Oryctolagus cuniculus: one gene and its partner. The protein of the gene in region 1 purifies or fractionates together with the protein of each later gene. This does not show direct contact. Links are inferred from orthologs where the notes say so. Each region holds a gene or a part of one and is shown on either strand. Other genes may lie near its edges.

Region 1 (4,940 bases):
TCAGGACAGGAGGAGCGCACTGCTCTTCCCAGCATCTTTTTAAAGTTGACTCAGCAAGACTCTCGCAATTTTCCACCGCCTGCCTCATAACTCCTGGAGAAGGCCAGAGGCCCAGGGAGGTTTTCCCAGAATCAATATTTGCTCTCTGGGGATCGGGGGGGAGGATCAGATCCAAATGATTGTCAAGGTCAGCCTTCAAAGGGAGAATGTTTCATAGGAGAGAAATTTAAGAATGCAGGGGCTAGGGCCAGCATTGTGGTGCAGTGGGTTAAGTTGCTGCCTGCAACACAGGCATCTCATACGCTCCACTTCTGCTACAGCTCCTTGCTAATGTGCCTGGGAAAGCAGCAGATAATGGCCCAAGTTTTGGGGCCCTTGCACCCACATAGGAGACCTGGATGGAGTTCCAGGCTCTGGTTTCAGTCTGGCCAAGCCATGACTGTTGCTATTCGGGAAGTGAACCAGCGGACGGTTCCCTCTCTCTGTAAATCTTTTTGTTTGTTTGTTTTTAAGATTTATTTTATTATTTATTTGAAAGGCAGAGTTACAGAGAGGCAGAGAGAGAAGTCTTCCATCCATTGGTTCACTCCCCAAGTGGCCTCAATGGCCGGGGCTGGGCTGAAGCCAGGAGCTTCTTCTGGGTCTCCCACATGGGTGCAGGATTTGGGCCAGTCTTCTATGCTCTGCCACAGCAGAGAGCTGGATCAGAAGTGGAGCAGCCGGGACTCAAATCAGCGCCCATATGGGATGCCAGGACTACAGGTGGCAGCTTTACCGGCTATGCCACAGCGCCGGCCTCTGTAAATGTATTTTTTTAAAAGATTGATTGATTTATTTGAAAGGCAGAGTCACAGAGAAGCAGAGGTAGAGAGAGAGACAGAGACAGAGAGGTCTTCTATCCATTGGTTCATTTCCCAAATTGCTGCAACATCTGGAGTTGGGCTCATCAGAAGCCAAGAGCCTGGAGCTTCTTCTGGGTCTCCCAAGTGGGTGCAGGGACCCAAAGACTTGAGCCATCTTCTACTGCTTTCCCAGGCCATAGCAGAGAGCTAAGAGTAGACGGGACACAAACCAGTGCCCACATGGGATGCTGGCACTGTAGGCAGCAGCTTTTACCACTACACAGTAAAATGAGCGGGCTGACTGAGCCACCTGTGTGCCTCAGAAAATGTCTCTGTGGGTCACCCCACCCCAACCCCAGTCATCAGACTCATTCCTTGGTCCCATACCAATCAATGGAGCAGAGCAGAATAGGAAATGGGGACCCAGCTCATGCCAATTCCTGAAATAGATGCAAAGGCAACAGAAACAGCAGAGCCTCGCCCCTCCCGTTCACCATGCCCTCCCTTGGTCCCAGGGTCTTCCCGTCTCACAGTGGCTTCCAGGTCCTCTGTCTTGTTGCGCAGCTGGTCCAGGTTTTCTCCTCGTGCCAGGATCCGCTCCACATTCTGGGTCATTATATTCTTGACTCCCTCCACCTCACTCTGCAGGTTCCGCACTCGGTCATCTCCGCCTCCGCTGGCCGCCTCCTGCGCACAGCACAGGGGCTAATTAGGCCAAGTGACAGAGGACCAGAGGGAGACCCAGCCACAGAGGCCAGGGCAGTGGAAGGCCTCAGGTGGACGTCAGCCTTTACAATGCTTGCATTGTTTACAAACTATCTTTTCCTGCTTTAATGCATCTGTAAGCCCCAGCAGGTGAGATCTGATGCTGGACACCATCACTCAAACTTTCGGGTTCCCAGGGCTCCTGGCAAGGAAGAAAGCAGCATGGCTAACTCCCTCTCGGCTGCTTCCTCCTCCTCATGGGGTCGCAGGCACTGCAGAGCTGGCATCTCACAATGTCCCCCTCCAGCGCAGACCCCCCGCGATTTACCAAGTCCTAGAGCCCTCCCTTGCTTCCTGGACCCCCCTGAGTCTTCATTAAACCTGTCAGTGCCAGCCAGCAGGACGCCCCACCTGGCCCAAGCCTGCTCCGGCTCCCGGACAGCTGCTGGAGGATTGCTTCGGCTCCGGGGCTTCCTGGACAGCCTGACCCTAGTTCCATGGCTATGACCCAGAGCCAACAAGTCCCTCACACGGCGCCATGATCCGCTGAGCACACACTTCTGCTTTCCCCACCTCTCAGCAGAGCCTGTGCAGATACTAAGTGAAAACAGGCACCTGGGCGCTGGGGGAAATGGAGGACAAGTGCTGCCCGCCTGCTGCCTGCCTCATCCTGCAGGGTTCATGATAAGGTTTTTGATCAAGGAGGGAAAACAGGCCTCCCAGCCTGGCCCTCGGGGGGGGGGGGGGGCAGAACCTTGCCAAGGGTGTGGGGCGAAGCTGGATTATCGCAGAGAACCAACTTATGGGTCTTTTACAGGCCCCCGGCTGCTTCCTTAGACGCGGTACAGAGGGATCCTTTGGGTTTCTGCATAGGGAGAAAGCGGGAGGCCCGGTGGGAGAACTCCCGCCGCCGCTGGCCTGGAATCTGAGCCGGGAACAGCAGAGGCGCTTGCTGTCCAGCGGTGTCACAACACCCAGTTTGTCCCTGCCAGGGGAGGCGGGGGCGGGGGGCGGCAGAAAGTGGCAGCAACTCTTTGCCTGGAATTCGGACGCCCCCCCAACCCCCACCGCGGCCCTGCTCGGGGCCAGCACGGAGGCCAGGGGAGGGAGGTAGTGGGGCAGGGACAGGAACACCGCCCAGGCGGCTCAGAAGTATTTGCGGCCAAGTTGTCAGAGAGGCCACAGACAGCGCCGGCCCCAGCCCTCTGACTTCACCACGCACCCTCCCCTCTCGGCAAGGCCAAGCCCCAGTCCCCAGCCCCCTTTAGAAAGCAGCCCCCGTCCGGATCGCTCACCATGTCTGCGAGTCGCTGGGGCCCGTCAGCGGCGGAGCTCACCCAGGCTGCTTCCTCCCGGGCAGCCCTCGCTCCACTTCCTGCTTGCTCCAACTTTCAGCCCGCCCCTGCCCACCTCCATCCCTGCGCTCGCGCCACACCTAACGCAGGTTTCCTCAGGTAGGCGGGCTCCCGCCCCCGCCCTCCCAGTCTCCACCCAACCAGGGCTTAAACTTAAAGCCACAAGGCTCCCCGGGAGGGCACCGAAGGTCTTGCCACTTGCCAGAAACGACAAAGCAAAGATCAAGCAACCTTCCTAGGTTTCCTGAGGCGGGACAGACTCCTTTTTATGTCTGGGATGTCTTAAGCACCCTGCGGGCCGAGATCACGTGAAAACAGGTGCAGAGGTGACAAGATCTTGCCGAAGCCCTTGTACTTAGGACTGCAAACACTGGGAAAAGTCTGGAATGCTGTCACCCCAGGCTCGGGTGTCAGAAAGCTCAGGGTTACCGGCTGCATGCTGCCTAGTGAACTTCCTCACCTCTTTCTGTATTGCAGGTGCAAAGGAGTAAAAGACAGCTCACACAATGTGCCTGACAGTGCCTTGAACAAAATAAGTAATCAGGAAATGATGGCCCACCAGCCCTTCCCCTTCCCTTCCCAATTGCCTTGCATGTGCCTTGGGAGGACAGTGTGTGTGTGTTTTGGGGGAGGTTGCTGACCCTATCAGTGGTCAGAGGACAGCCCAATGAACCAGACAGGGACGACCCAGGGCAAAGGATTTTTCCACCAACCTGGCCCTGGGCCAGAGAAAGGCCAGAAAAAAAATCCTCTCTTCCTGGATGGTGTTTATCAAGACACAAGAACAGTAACAGGGACCTGCAGAAGGGAACAAACATTCTTGCCTCTTCCCAGAAGAAATGGCAGTTCCAAAGAGGAAATATCAACTTCACCAACACATACTTTTAAAAAGAGAGAGAGATTTATCTGAAAGGCAGAACACCAAGAGAGGACAAGAAACAGAATAAGAGTGATCTTCCATCTGCAGGATCATTCTCCAAATAGCTGCAACAGCCAGGTCTGGGCCAGGCTGAAGCCAGGAGCCAGGCACTCCATCCAGGTCTCCCATGTGGCTGGCAGGGGCCCTGGTACTTGGGCCTTCCTCTGCTGCCTACCCGAACACGTTAACAGGAAGCTGGATATAAAGTGGAGCAGTCGGGACTCAAACCAGTGCTTTTAAAAAGTCTTTAATACATTTTGTCTTGAGACATCTTTTTTCTAACTTAAATACAATTTTGTCCCCAATTAGGTTGTAAGTTTATTAGATTATACAGACATGAATTTTAGTGGCCAGGACAAATAGCCTGGGAAACAAAGTGTGTACCAGCCTGCTTTGGCAAAGAAACATGGCTGCCTCACCCTTCTCAGGTTGCCACAAGGCCAGGTGGAGGAGGAGTGGAATTCTTAGTCTCTACTTGTGTCATCCAGACCAGTTGCCATTAACCACTTGGGCTGTTGAGTACTTGAAATGTGGCCAGTCTGAACTGAGATGTGTTGTAAATGTAAAATACACACCAGAGTTCAAAGACGTAGTATGAAAAGAAGAATGGAAATATCGCATTCATAATTTCATATGTTGATGGCATGTTAGAATAATGTCTCGGGGGGTGAGTATTATGGCGCAGTTTTTAAACCACAGCTCAGGACACCTGCATCCCATATCGGAGTGCCAGTTTGAGTCCCGGCTACTCCACTTCCCATCCAACTTCCAGCTACTGCCTGGGAGGCAGCACATGAAGGCCCAAGTGCTTGAGTCCCTGCCACCCACATGGGAGATCCAGATGGAGCTCCGGGCTTCTGGCTTTATTCTGGCCCAGGCTTGCTGTTGCAAGTATTTGGGGAATAAACCAGATGGAAGATGTTTCTCTCTCTCTCTCTCTCTCTCTCTCTCTCTCTCTCTCTCTCTCTCCCTCTTTCTGTCTTGCTCACTCTGCCTATCAAATAAATAAATTAAAAAGAAAGAAAGAGAGAGAGAGAGGGAAATGGAGTAGGATCCCCAGAGTGGGAATCAGGGTTATGATAGTTGAGAAGTTATTAGGCTCTCGCCTGCCACTGCCAA
Region 2 (4,418 bases), on another chromosome or scaffold:
ACATAAAAATAAATCTTAACCAAAAAAAAAAAGGGGGGGGGGGTTTGCCCAGATAGGGCATGGCACTACAGAATTTTGAGATGTGCATTTGAGTAGCACATACTGATGTCCATCAGAAGAACTCCTAGGTTCAAAGGGTAACCAGACCAGCTCTCTGCTGTGGCCCAGGAAGGCAGTGGAGGATGGCCCAGGTGCTTGAGCCCTGCACCCGCATGGGAGATCAGGAGGAAGCACCTGGCTCCTGGCTTCGGATCGGCGTAGCTCCGGACGTGGCAGCCATTTAGGGGGTGAACCAGCAGAAGGAAGACCAAAACCTTTCTTTCTGTCTCTCTCTCTGTGTCTAACTCTATCTGTCAAAAACAAAAAACAAAGGGTGACTGGAATCATAACTAGCATCTCAAACCTGTGCTAAGATTCTTTTATAGTTGGGGCAGTCTGCAAGTTGCTGTGGATACGTATGGCTAAGTGGCATGGGAGTGTGTATGCAATAAGTACAGATAAATAAGAAAGGGATTACATAGGAAATGGCTAACAAATAGTGTATAGAAGGGTGTGCAGAAGACCTTGTGAAAGAGGTAGCATGTGAGTGCCTTTTTTAAAGAAGTTATTTGCTATATATATAGCCAAACTTGAATTTTTTTTTTTTTTTTTTTTTTTTTTTTGACAGGCAGAGTGGACAGTGAGAGAGAGAGACAGAGAGAAAGGTCTTCCTTTGCCGTTGGTTCACCCTCCAATGGCCGCCGCGGCCGGCGCGCTACGGCCGGCGCACCGCGCTGATCCGATGGCAGGAGCCAGGAGCCAGGTGCTTTTCCTGGTCTCCCATGGGGTGCAGGGCCCAAGCACCTGGGCCATCCTCCACTGCACTCCCTGGCCACAGCAGAGGGCTGGCCTGGAAGAGGGGCAACCGGGACAGAATCCGGCGCCCCGACCGGGACTAGAACCCGGTGTGCCGGCGCCGCTAGGCGGAGGATTAGCCTAGTGAGCCGCGGCGCCGGCCCAAACTTGAATTTTTTTTTAAGATTTATTTATTTATTTGAAAGATAGAGTTACAGAGAGAGACAGTGAGAGATCTCCCATCCACTGATTCACTCACGAAATGGCCACTATGGGCAGAGCTCAGCCAGGATGAAGCCAGGAGCTAGGAGTTTCTTCTGGGTCTCCCATATGGGTGTAGGAGCCTAAGCCCTCAGGCCATCTTTCACTGCTTTCCCAGGTGCATTAGCAGGGATCTAGATCCGAAGTGGAGTAGCTGGGACCTGCCTATATGGCATGCCAACACCTTAGGTGGTGGTGTAACCCGATATGCCACATGCCAGCCCCCCTTAGTGCCTTAAAGCAAAAGAGAAGCCACATAAACAGAAAAGAAACTGAGTTAAAGAGCAAAAAAGGGCCGGTGCTGTGGCGTAGTGGGTAAAGCTGCTGCCTGCAGTGCCAACATTCCATATGGGCACTGGTTCCAGCCCCGGCTGCTCCACTTCTGATCTAGCTCTCTGCTACGGCCTGAGAAAGCAGTAGAGGATGGCCCAAGTCTTTGGGCCCCTGCACCCACGTGGGAGTCGTGGAGGAAGCTCCTGGCTCCTGGCTTCAGATCGGCACAGCTCCAGCCACTGCGGCCAATTGGGGAGTGAACCATCAGATGAAAGACCTCTCTCTCTCTCTCTCTCTCTGGCTCTCCTCTCGCTGTATAACTCTTTCAAGTAAGTAAATAAATAAATATTTAAAAAAAGAGAGAGAGAAAAAAAAAAAAGTATGTCATAAGATTTAATTGTCGGGGCCAGTGCTGTGGCCTAGTAGGCTAAGCTTCCATCTGCGGTGCCAGCATCCCATATGGGCGCTGGTTCGAGTCCCGGCTGCTCCATTTATGATCCAGCTCTCTACTATGGCCTGGAAAAGCAGTAGAAGATGGCCAAAGTGCTTGGGCCCCTGTACTCCAGTGGGAGACCCAGAAGAAGCTCTTGGCTTCTGCCTTCAAATGAGCCCAGCTTCAGCCATTGCAGCCATTTGGAGAGCAAACCAGCAGATGGAACATCTTTTTCTGTCTCTCCCTCTTGCTCTCCTTAAATACATAAATAAATCTTTAAAATTGTTGTTGCTGGGAGGCACTCATAGGCTTTGTCGTAAGGCCCAGTTTAGGCTCAATTTAGGGCTAGTGCATGCAGAATTTGTCCGTACCAGCATGTCAGCTTCTCCTCTAGGCTGTTTGGGCTTGGGTGATCTTGCTGCTTCCCAGGTAGCATGTTCAGTTCATATTGCCTTCTTTTTTTACAATATTGTCTATTTTATCATTTACTACCATAAAATACATGCACATAAGTGGATTTGTGCAGTCCCAGTGAGCAGTAAAATATTTGTTTCCCTTGCTCTGTTCTTCTTGTGTCTTTCTCAAGGAGACCACGTGACTGAGGAAACAATTCGGGTACTCCTGAGCACCAAGGCCTATATCCTGACAATGGTTTAAACTCACCATTGTTAACACTGAAACAGACAATATACAAAACTCATACACGCCTCATTTCATATTTTTCATAGTAACTGGGAAAAAATTCAAGTGTACTAAATCCAGATAGCTGCAGACGGTCAAACAGGAAACACAACTTGGCTCTTACCTCCAGCTGCCGAATTGCTGTCTCCCTCTCTTTAATAAGCTCCAGGTCCTGCTCGGTGATGGCCGCCTCGTCCTCTTGGCTCTGCATCTGGTTCCACTCCTCATGGCTACAGGGAGACAGATACACTGAGTCCTCTGCTCAAGCTGTGACAACACCTATCTACAATACTGCCATTGCCAGCAAAGCCTCTCCAGACTCATTTCCAGGGTTACAACTCCTCTGATATCAACACGAAGTCCTGGAGGGCCACACTCTTCATATCAAGAGGCAAAGAGCTGGTAATAGGCTCCAAGGAAACAGAGTGTCAGCTTCCATAGGCAAAGCTGAGATGAAGTGGAATTACGAGGGTTGGGATTCCTGGCTGGTTCCATTGAAGGGTATACTCTAAAGTCTTGCTAGGATTTGCCAGACAAGGAAAGCAATGTGAACTCACTGAAGGCATGCTTCCTATTATAGTAGGCCCAAAACACCTTGAAATCCACTGTTGTGCATTTTCCCAACATATGGATGAACCATCCTTCTTGGCCACAGTATTACAGAACAGCCTCCATGTGCTGGAGATGCGAAGTTGATAAGAGAGTCCCCCAGACCTCCGTGGAACTCGAGAACATCATGTAGGGTGATGGATAGAGATCTATGATAAAATTCAGCATATTAAGTTCTAAACTAATGTCACAAATATGTCTAAGGGATTAGCTTAGGGAAGTTAAGAAAAGATAACTCCTTCAGATACAAATTGTCTGCTTTTCCTCTTAATATTCCTAGAAGATGAGCTGTGCTAATTTAGAGGTGAGTAAGCAGATACCCAAGAACTCCGAGGAATGCAACTCTGAATTAGAGGTAAAATGATCCGTAGACGTGTGGGTTCATACCTATTCCTAATGAGTCAAGGTCTCTCCCAAACACACAGACATCAAGGGTTTCTTGGAATTTTTTATTCACCTTGACATTATTCCTGTCATAATTCAAATATCTTACAAGAACCTATGGTTTGACCTTTTATTATGTGGATTATCAATTACCCACCACAGATCTCTTTTATTTTGTCCTCCTTTTTTACTCATTTCCCTTTTTTTGTTTGTTTGTTTTTATTTTTATTTTTTGACAGGCAGAGTGGACAGTGAGAGAGAGACAGAGAGAAAGGTCTTCCTTTGCCGTTGGTTCACCCTCCAATGGCCGCCGCGGCTGGCGTGCTGTGGCCGGCGCACCACACTGATCCAATGGCAGGAGCCAGGTCTCCCATGGGGTGCAGGGCCCAAGCACTTGGGCCATCCTCCACTGCACTCCCTGGCCACAGCAGAGAGCTGGCCTGGAAGAGGGGCAACCGGGACAGAATCCAGCGCCCCGACTGGGACTAGAACCTGGTGCCGGCGCCGCAAGGCGGAGGATTAGCCTAGTGAGCCGCGGCACCGGCCTCATTTCCCTTTTAAGATTTATTTGTTTGTTTGTTTGAAAGGTAGAGTGACAGATCTTCCATCCATTGGTTCACTCCTCAGATGGCTGCAATACCCAGGTTTGGGCCAGGCAGAAGCCAGGAGCCAAGAACTCCATCCTGGTCTCCACATTGGTGGGAGGGACCTAAGTACTTGGGCCATCCTCTGTGGTGGAATGAGAAAGTGAGAAGGTCATGTCAAGATGGCCACTGACATATGTGGTGGAATGAGAAGGTGAAAAGGTCATACCAAGATGGCCACTGACAACAGAAACTGACTGACAACAGGTCGTGATTGGATGGCTTCGGAAACCACATGACAACAGTGCCTGACTGGCAACAGGCTGTGACTGGATGGCTTTGGAAACTGCCTGGCAACA

What was found. The genes of interacting proteins can lie anywhere in the genome.
Region 2: the proteins of VAMP8 (region 1) and STX12 purify together in Homo sapiens (affinity purification with mass spectrometry; 3 studies listed by BioGRID and IntAct, counting the BioPlex papers as one, with this or other methods). This does not show direct contact. The link is inferred for Oryctolagus cuniculus from reciprocal best matches to the Homo sapiens genes VAMP8 and STX12.

Annotation. Positions count from the first base shown.
Region 1 is NC_091433.1:117,070,970-117,075,909, forward strand, and holds the start of VAMP8 (vesicle-associated membrane protein 8), read right to left. Parts: upstream 3,281-4,940; 5' UTR 2,846-3,280; coding exon 2,843-2,845; intron 1,530-2,842; coding exon 1,374-1,529; intron 1-1,373. UniProt on the Homo sapiens protein: SNAREs, soluble N-ethylmaleimide-sensitive factor-attachment protein receptors, are essential proteins for fusion of cellular membranes.
Region 2 is NC_091438.1:143,815,175-143,819,592, forward strand, and holds part of STX12 (syntaxin-12), read right to left. Parts: intron 2,713-4,418; coding exon 2,607-2,712; intron 1-2,606. UniProt on the Homo sapiens protein: SNARE promoting fusion of transport vesicles with target membranes. Together with SNARE STX6, promotes movement of vesicles from endosomes to the cell membrane, and may therefore function in the endocytic recycling pathway.